Linked DNA regions of Oryctolagus cuniculus. Each later gene encodes a partner of the first gene's protein in a complex. Links are inferred from orthologs where the notes say so. Each region holds a gene or a part of one and is shown in the gene's direction. Other genes may lie near its edges.

Evidence for each region.
Region 2: EIF3D (region 1) and EIF3M share a complex: the UniProt entries of both Homo sapiens proteins name them as parts of the eukaryotic translation initiation factor 3 (eIF-3) complex. The link is inferred for Oryctolagus cuniculus from reciprocal best matches to the Homo sapiens genes EIF3D and EIF3M.

Annotation. Positions count from the first base shown.
Region 1 is NC_091442.1:113,766,072-113,772,057, reverse strand, and holds the start of EIF3D (eukaryotic translation initiation factor 3 subunit D), read left to right. Parts: upstream 1-2,052; 5' UTR 2,053-2,527; intron 2,528-2,655; exon of another isoform or gene 2,656-3,533; intron 3,534-4,192; 5' UTR 4,193-4,202; coding exon 4,203-4,325; intron 4,326-4,489; coding exon 4,490-4,535; intron 4,536-5,141; coding exon 5,142-5,278; intron 5,279-5,710; coding exon 5,711-5,796; intron 5,797-5,986. UniProt on the Homo sapiens protein: mRNA cap-binding component of the eukaryotic translation initiation factor 3 (eIF-3) complex, a complex required for several steps in the initiation of protein synthesis of a specialized repertoire of mRNAs.
Region 2 is NC_091432.1:33,317,682-33,323,704, reverse strand, and holds the start of EIF3M (eukaryotic translation initiation factor 3 subunit M), read left to right. Parts: upstream 1-2,132; 5' UTR 2,133-2,299; coding exon 2,300-2,341; intron 2,342-5,671; coding exon 5,672-5,804; intron 5,805-6,023. UniProt on the Homo sapiens protein: Component of the eukaryotic translation initiation factor 3 (eIF-3) complex, which is required for several steps in the initiation of protein synthesis.

The DNA of each region.
Region 1 (5,986 bases):
GGGCCCAGGTCCTTGGGCCATCACTGCTGCCTCCCGGGGCCTGCACTTCTCAGGAGGCCTGAATCCGCGGCAGAGCCAAGACTCAGGCCCTGGCAGCCTGAGACGCAGGCTACGCCCAACGGAGAGACTGGAAGCTGGAGCAGGGGAGGGAGGGTCACTCCAGCTGCCGTGGGAGCTGCAGAAAGAGCAGCAACAGGGGGTCAGCTGGGAGGAAGGCCAGAAGCAAGACCCCCCCCCCACAAGCCCAGGGACGCCACCGAGAATCACGCAGGCTCCTTCCCTATGGGGGCGGCAGGCACATCTGGGCCAAAACACGGGAGACGATTCCACTCTGACACGAGACAGAGGCTGCGCAGACGGCCTGCAGCCCGCGGCAACACACACACCCTCCAAGCAAGTTAGCCAGAGCGTCACCCGCGCTCGTGGAAATTCGCGGTGGCCCGCATCCCACCCAGAGTGACACTCAGTCCTCCTTCAGTTCCCACAACTCCCCTACTCATTCAACAACGGCAAACACGCATCGCCCACCACAGGCTGCTCCGGGTCAGACAGAGGCCTGCCCTTGGGGCGCTTACTCTAAGGACAGGCAGCGCCCAGACTAGGGAGCGAACAGTGTTTCAGAGAGCGATGAGAACCCAGGAGGGAAGAGTCAGACGGCACCCGCCGTGGTGTAGCAGGTAATGCCGCTGCCTGCCACGCAGCCATCCCATATGGGTGCCAGTTCGAGTCCCAGCTGCTCCACTTTCAATCCCACTCCCTGCTAAGACACCTGGGAAAGCAAGGGGGGATGGCCCAAGTCCTTGGGCCCCTGCACCCACATGGCCCACCTGCAAGAAGCGCCTGGCTCCTGGCTTCAGATCAGCCATCTGGGGAGTGAACTAGCGGGCGGAAGACCTCTCTCTCTTTATCTCTCTCTCGCTCGCTCTCTCTGCCTCTCCTCTCTATGTAACTGACTTTCAAATAAAATGAATAAATCTTTTTTAAAAGGGGGGGGGGACCGGAGCAGCCACAGGAAACCCCCGCGTTTCTAGGCACAGGACAGGAAGCTGCTAGGAGGCTGCAGACAGGTGTGCGAGGCGGGAGCTGGGCCGGTCGTGCGTGGTGTGCTGGGGTTGGTGCAGTACAGAGGAGCCAGCCGAGAACGGAATGAGGGCAGAGAGAAGGACCCACCAACGAGGTCAGCAGGCACCGTTAACAAAAACCAGGGGACCTGGAAGATGCACGGGTGGGGGCGGGGGGGGGGTGTAAGCAAATGCCTGCGGTTCGCTGCGGCTCAGAATCGCTGAGCTCGCCTGTCTGAGTAATGAGACGCAGCCTCTCTGGACCAGCCACTTAATCATCCTCGTTTCACAGATGAATAAGCAGGTCCAGAGAGGCCAAGTTCACCCAAAAGCTAAGTGGAGGCAGATCTTCCCCTCCCCAAACGGCCACAACAGCCAGAGCTGGGCCGGGCTGAAGCCAGGAGCCTGGAACTGCGTCCGGGTCTCCCGCGTGGGTGGGGGGGCCCGAGAACTTGGGTCACCCTCTGCGGGGAGCGGCACGGGGAGCGGAGCAGCCGGGACTCGAACCCGCACTGCCGCGGGATCCGCGTCGCTAGCGGCTGCGCGGCCCCCGCACACACCCCACCCCCTAAGGCTTAGAGAAGGCACCTCGAGCTTCCCTCCCCGGGACACGGGCTGCGGGACTAGCGGGACCACCTGCAGGACAGGGAGGGTCTGGGGTTGCCTGCCTGACGCCCTCGGAGCCGACGGGGCCGCGGCTCCCGCCTCGCCTCCGCAGCTCACTAAAACAGTCCCGGGCTCCGGCTGAGCCGCATTTGATTAACCATCCACGGATACCACACCCGGAATCTGAATTTGTTGTGAGAAAAACTGCGATGTCACCATTAAGTCCGGTAACTGTGGAGTGAGCGGGTGCACCCTGGCGGCCACCCCGTAAACTAGCAGTCCGAACTGAACCGTGCGGGCGGGCGTCCAGCTGTCAAACACGCGGGAGGAACCCACGCCGCCCAACGCGCTCCACCCAAGCCCCTCCGCGACCGAACGCCGCAGTCCCGCGGGCAGAGCGGCCGGAGCCGCGGGGCATTGTGGGACGCAGAGGGGCCGACGCATCCCGCGAGGCATTGTGGGACACAGCGAGCTGTCAGCCGCTCTCCAGCCTCCAGCTTCGCTCGCCATTGCCCGGCCGCCACGTTTGCCACTGGGAACGCTCTCTGTGAGCGTCCCCGGATGCCGCCTGACGTAACCGTAATCACCCCCTTAGGCGACTTGAAGCCTCGGAAGCTGAGGATGCCTTCGAAAGAGCAGTGACGGATTTCCGGGTGTAGCCTCGCTTTACGGCTTGGGCGTTCCTCCGCCCCAATCCGGGGAAAGCAGGAGAGCAGTTTACGACAGCGACGGTCGTGTTTACGGCGCCGGCAGCTGCGTGCGCATGTTCCCTCCTTTCCCGGTTCCTCCGAGTGCCCCTGGAATTGCCGTCTCCGGCCCGGACCATCTCTCGCCATCCGGGCGGACCGAGGCCTTTGCAGGTGAGCGGCGCGTTTCTCTGGGTCCTGCGGACCTCTGGAGCCCGCTCGGGCTCGTCTCGGCCTTTGGGGTCCTCCCGGAAGAGAGACTTTTACGTCCTCTCGTGCCGCCGCTGTCCCTCCGCTGGGCGGGGCGTGAATCTGCCCGCGGGGCCCTCGGGCCCGGCACGGTTTGGGGGATGCGGGGCGCGCGCTCTCTTGCCCAGGAGTCGGCGGCGCGCCCCCCGTAGTGGCGGCAGAAGCCTAGGACGATAGCCCGCGAGCCGCGGGGCCGCTTCGACTTCCCCGCAGGGTGCTCCCGCCGAGCCCAGCGCCGCTGCGTGGTCTGTGCTGAAGGCGAGGACCTCGGGCAGCTGGCGCGCGGGCCCCGGCTCTGTCACCTCCGGAGGCTGCGGGCAGAACCCGATCTCGCTGAGAGGCTGCGTTTGGGGGCGTGTGGTGGAGAGCCCCGGATGTTTTCCGGGCTTGTGCTGCCCAGCTGGGTTTCTGGCAGCAGCCTTGCCAACACAGTCTGTCCTGAAGCCGGAGTGGGTCGACCGCTTGATCTGGCTGAGCCGGTGACGGCTGGCTCCGAACCGGCCCCGGGCGCAGCGTTCCTGAGACCACCGCCCTCTTCCGCCCTCCTGTAGCTTAGTTGGGGTTCAGATTTGGGGGCTGAAGCTCCCAGGCTTCCCCCGCCGCCGCGGCCCAGATGTCACCTCTGGGGCAGCCGGGAGTGTACCCCGAGTTCCACGCGCAGCTTTTCCCCGGAACCTCACCTGCTGCGGTGGAGATAAGTGCGTGGGTTTGGGATCGGACGTGTCTGGCACACGTGTGCAGAGCCCTTGGTTTTGGGTCCTGGGAGGAGCCGTGACACTGCAGGGCGAATGGGCGCAGGAGCAGGGGCCGGGCGCCGTCTCAGTCTGCATTGTGACTTCCGGCCATCTCTGGCCTCTGCCTCGGTTTTCCTATCTGGGAAGTGGGGACAGTGCCGGCACCTGCCTCGCCGGGTCTGACGCGTGAATTCACGGTGAGACTGAGACCCGGTGCTGTGGGTGAGCATCGAGCGCAGGGCTCCTCGGGGCCTTGGTTGGCGCTGACCCCTGGGCCTTCTGCCTGGCGCTGACCACTCGCTCTGCGCGTGGGCTTTGCACTGGTGGCAAAGACTCGGGACAGGGCGGAGGAAGCTGAACGTCAGTGCCTGCTGGAGGACCAGGGATCCTCAGTGTCTGCGCACTCTGCATCCTAACTGTGCGTGTTCACGGATGGCGAGGCTCGGGCGGTGGTCCTGTGACACAGTCCCCCTCCGCGTGTAGTCGGGGACGTTGGGTGCCGCTGCCTGCCTCGCTCGAGGTGCCTCGGGGCCCAGAGGTTGTTACTCCCGTGTCGGATCTGTGGGGCAGGCTGAAGCCGGGAAGCACCTTGACTTCATGCGTCGCTAAACTGCCGACTGAGACGGCTGCCCTGCCGAGCCGAAGGTGCTCCGGCAAGCCGGGTCCGAGAGCTCATGGTTCAGGGCAGAGGGTAAGCCGGCGGTCTCCGGGCTTGGGCCTTCACCATGTGATGGCCGAGGAGCACGCAGCCGTGGAGTGCTCCGTGCTGTGGGCTGCGCCTTGGGCTCTCCGGTGTGTGCGTTCCTTCCCGTGACGGAGGGATTTCACACTCGCCATCGTCTGTGTTCCCCGTAAGGTCCGAGAAGATGGCGAAGTTCCTGACGCCCGTGATCCAGGACAACCCGTCCGGCTGGGGCCCCTGCGCCGTCCCCGAGCAGTTTCGGGACATGCCCTACCAGCCCTTCAGCAAGGGCGACCGGCTCGGGAAGGTGCGTGCGCCCTTGCGTCCCCTCGCGTCGGGAGAGCGGCTGAGGAGGGCGCTGAGCCCTGGGAGCCGTCCCGGGGGAGCCGGGGGCCATTTCTCCTGGTGCTCTGCCGGCCGAGTCCCTCGTCCTGCTTCTGGCTGACCTGAGCGCCCCCTCTGTGCTCCTAGGTTGCGGACTGGACAGGGGCCACGTACCAAGACAAGCGGTACACAAGTAAGTGCTCGCCCGCTGCCGCCGCGCCAGGGCCTGCGGGCGCCAGTGCCTCCTTGCTAGCCTTCCGGAAGCTGTGTAGACGGGAAGGAGGTGCCAGAGGTCGGCTTGGCTGTGGTGCAGCCATGCACAGACGTCTGGGGGAGGCACAGACCCTTGGGGACGTCTGTGGGACACGTCCCCGTGCGGCAGTCCAGCTTGGGTACTGACCACTGAAGCCAGTCGGTGGACTGCAGGTTCAGTCTGGTTTTCAGACCCCAGTGGCGTGGAAGGGGCTGCCCAGCGCGCCAGGCTCGGGTCAGGGCTGCCGGGTGCCGCGGGACGGGGACGGTGCTGCCTGTGCCCGGGATTAGTGTGTGGTCCCTCGGATTCTCCCTGTAAGGGGCGGGCGCCATTGCATTCCTCAGGCTCTGTCTGGCTCAGGTCTTCAGACCAGAGCGTTCAGACGCGAGTGTGCGTGTGACCTGCTGCTTGCGGCTGCTGGGCCTGGGCCTGGCTGCGGGGCTGCACGCCTCACCAGCTGCCTGCCAGGCCCGAGGCCCGAGGCGCGCTTGGGCGAGCAGGCCTGAGTCCGTGGGGCTGCCCGACACGCTGTCCCTTTGCCCCCAGATAAGTACTCCTCTCAGTTTGGAGGCGGAAGTCAGTACGCCTACTTCCACGAGGAGGATGAGACGAGCTTCCAGCTGGTGGACACGGCGCGCACGCAGAAGACTGCCTACCAGCGGAACCGGATGCGCTTCGCACAGGTGGGCCAGCGGCCTGGCCGAGCGGGGCCGAGCCGCCAGGGCTGCTGCGTGGGAGTTCTCGGGGAGGCGCCTGTGCTGGGTCCAGGCACGCGTTTCAAAGCTGATGGTGGCTGACGCTCGTAGGACGACCTCCTGTTTGCTGGAGGAGAGCTGTGGCCTGCCCGCAGCCCCACTAATTGCTGCGTGCGGGCTTTATTGAGGAGCTCTTCCAGTCGGGTTGCGTCTTCACCGCGTAGAGGCCAACTGGGCCGCTCTAACGAAACGCGGGGAACCTGCTTCAGAGAGCAGCTTGTTGTGGGACATGCATCTAAGCGCCCACCCTGAGGCCCCCGCGGCTGCATCCACAGAGCGCCGTGTCACGCGTGGAGTGTCGCGTACTCTGGCGAGCGCATGGCCACGATTTTAACGAGGTTGTTTGTCCTTGCCGGCCAGCGGAACCTCCGCCGAGACAAGGACCGACGGAACATGCTGCAGTTCAACCTGCAGACCCTGCCCAAGAGTGCCAAGCAGAAAGAGAGGTGAGCCCCTCCCTGCCGGCACTCGGCACTCGGCAACCACGGGCCAGAGCGGGAGACGGCCGTCCTCCCCACCGCCGCCAAAACGGGACTTCCTAACGCCTGACCCCCGTGATGCCGCCTTCCCAGCCTGTCATTCCCCAGGGCCGGAAACGGACTGCTTACGGACATGCGCGCTAAAGGGAGACAGGTG
Region 2 (6,023 bases), on another chromosome or scaffold:
TATTGCTAGTTAAAATTTTTCTTTGTAGCTATTCTATAACTGTGTAGTTGTATCTCATCATGGTTTGAATAAGTTGCACACTGACTTGTTTACTTACCACAGAGTTTTGCACCACTTTTTCATGACTGAATTTTCGATAGTCTCTTTAAAAAAACAAGCAACAACACTGTCTCAGGTGTGTCATCAATGCCTCCTTATGTTTTCTTGCCTTTCCAGATAAGAGTAAGGCTTGCAATCAATGTAAGTAGTTTGCTCCCAAATATTACAATGCAGGGACTTAAATTCAGGACAAACCTTTGGGGTCACCTTGACTTCCTCTTTCTCTCACACTCCATATCTGATCTGTTCGCAAATCTTACCAGTTTCACCAATACAAAAAAAATCCATAATCCAATCAATTTCCCATTCGCACTCCACCATCCACTCTTGCCTGGCTTTCTGCAATACTTTCCTAACTGGTCCCTCTGCTGATCCACTTTAAGTCAGTTTCCAACATGCTTGCCAGAGTGATCGTTTATCAGAGTTATCCCTTACCAAGAAAAAAAATTAATCACCTCACACCAACCAAAATCCATCAGAAGCTTCCCGATTCCTTAAGAGCTAAGGCTTAAACTTTTACTGTGACCTACAAGCGCCTCCACCCCACCTGTCAATGATTAAGTCATCTCCTATCGCTCTCCCCTTACTCAAACCGTGCCCACAGGTCTCCTGGCACCTGCCTCAGGCCCTTTGCCTTGCTTTCTTTTACATGAAAGCTTCCCTGAAGATCTGTCATTACTTTTTCATTTCCTTCAAGTCACAATACATTTGAGTCATTTTGATTACTCTAGCTAAAAAGGCGCGAGTGGCTGTGTGCGTGGGCACACCCACCTACCTGCACACCTTTTCTGTGTTTATCTTTTTTTTTTTTTTTTTTTTTTTTTTGACAGGCAGAGTGGACAGTGAGAGAGACAGAGAGAAAGGTCTTCCTTTGCTGTTGGTTCACCCTCCAATGGCCGCCGCGGCCGGCACTCTGCGGCGGGCGTACCGTGCTGAACCGATGGCAGGAGCCAGGTGCTTCTCCTGGTCTCCCATGGGGTGCAGGGCCCAAGCACTTGGGCCATCCTCCACTGCACTCCCTGGCCACAGCAGAGAGCTGGCCTGGAAGAGGGGCAACCGGGACAGAATCCGGCGCCCCGACCAGGACTAGAACCTGGTGTGCCGGCGCCGCAAGGTGGAGGATCAGCCTGTTGAGCTGTGGCGCTGGCCTCTGTGTTTATCTTAATAGCGCTACGTAACGTGTCCCACACAGTATTATTTAATAAGAGCTAATACCGTGCTCACCTGTTCTAAGTGCTTTCTACTTTAATTTGCTTATTCCTCACAACCCCATGAAGTTGTCAAATTGAGCAGTGTGACCTGAGGATGGCCCCTCTCCTCCAGGCCTCATAAGAGGAACTGCCAAAGGACTACGTGAAAGACTTTAGTACACTCTTACACCAATCGAAACTGAGCGTCAGGCAATGTCAGGTGATCACCTAACACCAATAAAGCAAAGCACCTAGCTGTTGCCAATCAAGGCGTCTGTCCCTCATTTCCGTTCTCTGACCATAAATGCTGCCGGACCGAGCTACAGGCCAGAGCTGTTCTGGTTCTGAGGGCTGCTAAGTTTCCAAATCGTTCGTTGCTCAGCGAAACTGTTAAGCTGAACCTGTCTTAGGGTTTTTTCCTTCGAACCAGGTAAGTACCCAAAGGGAAACGCAAACCCGGAAGTTTATAGGCAGTGGCCCTCGAGCGATGCAGCTGGGATTCCATCGCTTGAGTCCTTGCTGTAAAAGCACGATGCACCCTGGGCTGCCTTCCGAATTCCTTGTTAGCGGTTTGCGTTCCGTGTGTGCCTTCAAATGAGAGTGGCCTGCGCGAAGGCTGTCTTGGGGCCGCCCAGAGCGGGTTCCACAGCCTGGGCGGTGTGGACACCGAGGCAGGGCCCCGCAGCTGCTCCTGGCAGTTCTTGTTCTCGCACAAGTCATTTTCACTGCCCAATAGGCTTACACTTGCAGGGCTCAGGATGGTGACACCGCAGGGAGGAATCCCGGATACGAAGCCCAGCAGGTCCCGCCCACGAGCCCCGCCCAGCGCGTCCGCCACGCCCCCAAGCCTCAGCTGTCGTACGCCCTGGGATTGGCTTCCGCGGCCCTGCCCCACTAGGACCCGGGCCCGCTGACCCGGAAGCAGTTTGCGGAGCCGCCGCGCGGCTTTGCTCCCTTTTCCGGTCGGCGTGGTTTGCGAGTGGAGCGTCCGCGGTTCCCGGGCCTTCGCCATGAGCGTCCCGGCCTTCATCGACATCAGTGAGGAAGACCAGGTGTGCTCCCGGGCGCCGCGGGTGCCGCCGGGGTGGAGTGGGGGGGGGACGTCTCGGGCGTGAGGGACCGCGGCCGAGCTGGGGCCGGGCGGACGCGACGCCGCCCTGCGGAGCCCACTCCGGGGCGCCCGTCGCGTAGGTGCAGGCGTAGAGAGGCGGCGAGGCAGGCGGGGACACGCGTCCCGGGGCTGCTGGCCGGCGAGGCCCGCCAGCCCGCTTCCTGGTCGGCGTCGGGACTCTGCTAGCCTGCTGTCGGACGGCCGAGAAGTTTCTGACGAGGAACGGTGTCTGCTTCCGTCTTCCGAGTGCAGCAGCCGCCGCCGCTGTGGGAGGTGGCGAGTCGGTAGCCCACAGGAGCAGTCCGGCAAAGGTCATCGCGTGGTGACGATCAGAATGCATTTGGGGTTGTGCAGTCACAGAGGCAGGGCTGGCCCGTGTGTTTTCACTCGTCCTTGTGCACGAGTGGGAATTGTTCTGTAACCCTGTGCAAGTGTCCGCTCCATAGCGCTTAGTGGGCGATTCTGATATTTTTAAATTGACTGGAGTTTGCTCTTTGATGTGCAGAGCCGATGTTTACAATTTCCCCCGTAATAAAAGTTTAGTTGGTGGGAATTAAACCCAACATGCCATTACATAGTCTTTAATTTTTTATAGCTAACAACTCTGTGAAGTAGTATAAGCTTGTCATTTTTTTCTACTACTAGAATGTGGAAATTTTGTTTTTCATAGCTTCATTCTGATCTAACATCTAGAATTGTAGGTAGGACTTTTTTTTCCTCTCATGGTAGGAATGCAGTCCTACACCTCTGAAAAGTAAGAAGGGGATAGATAAAGCAACGAGAAATGCCAAGGGTAAGGAGGGAGGTGAGCACAGAAAGGAAAATGAAAGACCAAAAAAACCAAGCATTTTGCCAACAATCGGCTGTTAAGTTCCTGAAAAAGAAGTTACATACATACTGTAAGGAACCTGATGGAGGAAGTTCTTGTCATTGATCTTATTTTAAGTGGCCCTTTTTAAGGCTCTGCTACTGTTCTTAGAACGCATCCGTTTCACACCAGCTGTTCCTTTCAGGAAAATACCAATTCCTTCCAGAGTTCAACTGCTCAAATTTTCAGCTTGGTTAGAGTTGAAAAATGGGCAGTTCTTTCCCTGTACTTGCTTTCCGTTGCTTGTACTGGTCCATAACCACTTGTTAGCTAGTGAGGATAGCATAAAAACAGTAAACTGTTCAATAGTTCTCGGAAAGTTTGCTTTTTTTTTTTTTTAAGATTTATTTCTTTATTTGAAAATCAGAGTTACACAGAGAGAGGAGAGGCAGAGAGAGAGGTCGTCCTCCATCCGCTGGTTCACTCCCCAATTGGCCACGACGGCCGGAGCTGTGCTGATACAAAGCCAGGAGCTTCTTCCAGGTGTCCCACATGGGTACAGGGGCCCAAGGACCTGGGCCATCTTCTACTGCTTTCCCAGGCCATAGCAGAGAGCTAGATGGGAGGTGGAACAGCTGGGACTCAAACTGGCACCCATATGGGATGGCAGCACTGCAGGTCGGCGTTAACCCGCTGTGCCACAGTGCTGGCCTGGGAGAGTTTGCTTTCTGTCTACAAATTAGGAAGTGAACAAATGCCTTTAATTTTATTTCAATCAAATTGTATGTTTCCTTCATGAAGAAGCATGCATTCTAGTATTTAAAAAGTTACTTTATTTGAACTGTGCAGAGGGAGGCAGAGATACTCTGTCTATTCACTCCCGGAATGCCTGCAACAGCTAGGACTGGCCTAGGTCAAAGACAGGAGCCTGGAGCACAATCCAGGTTTTCTAGCTGCCAGGGTGCCATAGACTGCAGCCATCTCCTGCTACTTTACACAGGGAGCACGCCAGCAGGCAGCTGGGCCAGAAGTGCAGTCGCTGGGACTCACAGGCACTCTGGATGTGGGTGTCCTGACTGTTGGGGAGCGTGCCTGGCTGTTCAGTCATATTTTTGTTGTCTCTGATAATGGTGATACTTGTTTTGAATCTTGCTTGTAATACAACTCTTATGTTAAAGGATAGCACTATTGGATCTACAGTTTTAATGTATTTTTGTGGGGTTTCTAAACGTACTTATGGGGTTTAAAAATCATGGTCTCCCCCTGTTTGTGTGTGTAATCTAGAAAATGTGATACTTGCACATTTACAGGTGGTATTCTTTCATCTGCCTGTTTGACTTCTTCATTTTTGTTATCTTAAAAGCCATCTGAGGCCGGCACTGCAGCTCAATAGGCTAATCCTCCGCCTTGCGGCGCCAGCACACCGGGTTCTAGTCCCGGTCAGGGCGCTGGATTCTGTCCCAGTTGCCCCTCTTCCAGGGAGTGCAGTGGAGGATGGCCCAAGTCCTTGGGCCCTGCACCCCATGGGAGACCAGGATAAGTACCTGGCTCCTGGCTTCGGATCAGCGTGGTGCGCTGGCTGCGGTGCGCAGCGCGCCGGCTGGGGCAGCCATTGGAGGGTGAACCAATGGCAAAAGGAAGACCTTTCTCTCTCTCTCTCTCTCTCTCACTATCCACTCTGCCTGTCAAAAAAAAAAAAAAAAAAAAAAAAAGCCATCTGGATTCCTGTTTGGCAACAGTAAACACCAAGCTCTCAAAGGAAGGCATTGGTAGAGATGTGTAGGTACTATGTCTGGATGACGTCATGTGGTATGGGACCTGTGCCTTTAATATATACAAAGGGGCTTTCTGGCCTGGGCCTGCATTTGGCATTTGTTTCATAGATGTAATTCGACACAAATATTGTATTCAAGGCAACATTCACAAGCATTATCTTTTTATATCCCCCAAAATGCTTTATCTTGAATAGATTCTCAGTACTCAACATATCATTACCCTCTTGCTTAGAAAATGTCTATAATTTTTCTAGTACCTGTGTTTACATATACACTTGAACAATAAAAGATTCATTACTTTCCAGAAAAGTTGAATTTACCAAGTCACATTGGTTTCTTCTCTCTAGTCCTCCCCCCTCCCCCCGGAAAAAAAACCTGGATTATATAAAGGCTTTTGATCTATACTGGAGGTCCGGCAAGGTGCAGGTGAGACCAAAGAACCTGGGGAGGTGATCCCTGTTGGCTGCAGGGTGTCTGTGGAGCCCTGGGCCTGGTGGAGGAGGAGCCCTTCACTCTAGCCTGAAGTGAGGTGGTAGTTAAAAGTACAATTTGTGCATTTTAGTTGTCCACATGTAGGAGAGACTTGGTTTGAGCTTTTGGTGGTCATAATCAGGTTTCTAGATACACACATTGTATATTTCCTTCTTAAAGGCTGTACAGAGTAATACAGCCCTGCTTGATTCCACAGGCTGCTGAACTCCGTGCTTACCTGAAATCTAAAGGAGCTGAGATCTCGGAAGAGAACTCAGAAGGTGGACTTCATGTGGATTTAGCCCAAATTATTGAAGCCTGTGATGTGTGTTTGAAGGAAGATGATAAAGGTTTGTTTCTTAACTTCCTTGTATCTCTTACTAATCATAACCTAGTTTTCAGATTTTCTTAGAATTTGTGTCTTGTGTTTCAGATTTTAAACTAGTTTTATCTTTGCATATGCAAAGATATCTGTTAGACCCACGAAGGAAGCCTATTTTGGAAAACCTCTTAACATTTCTGTGTCATTAATTACACACATTAAATCTTGACAGTTTCAAACTGTTTGT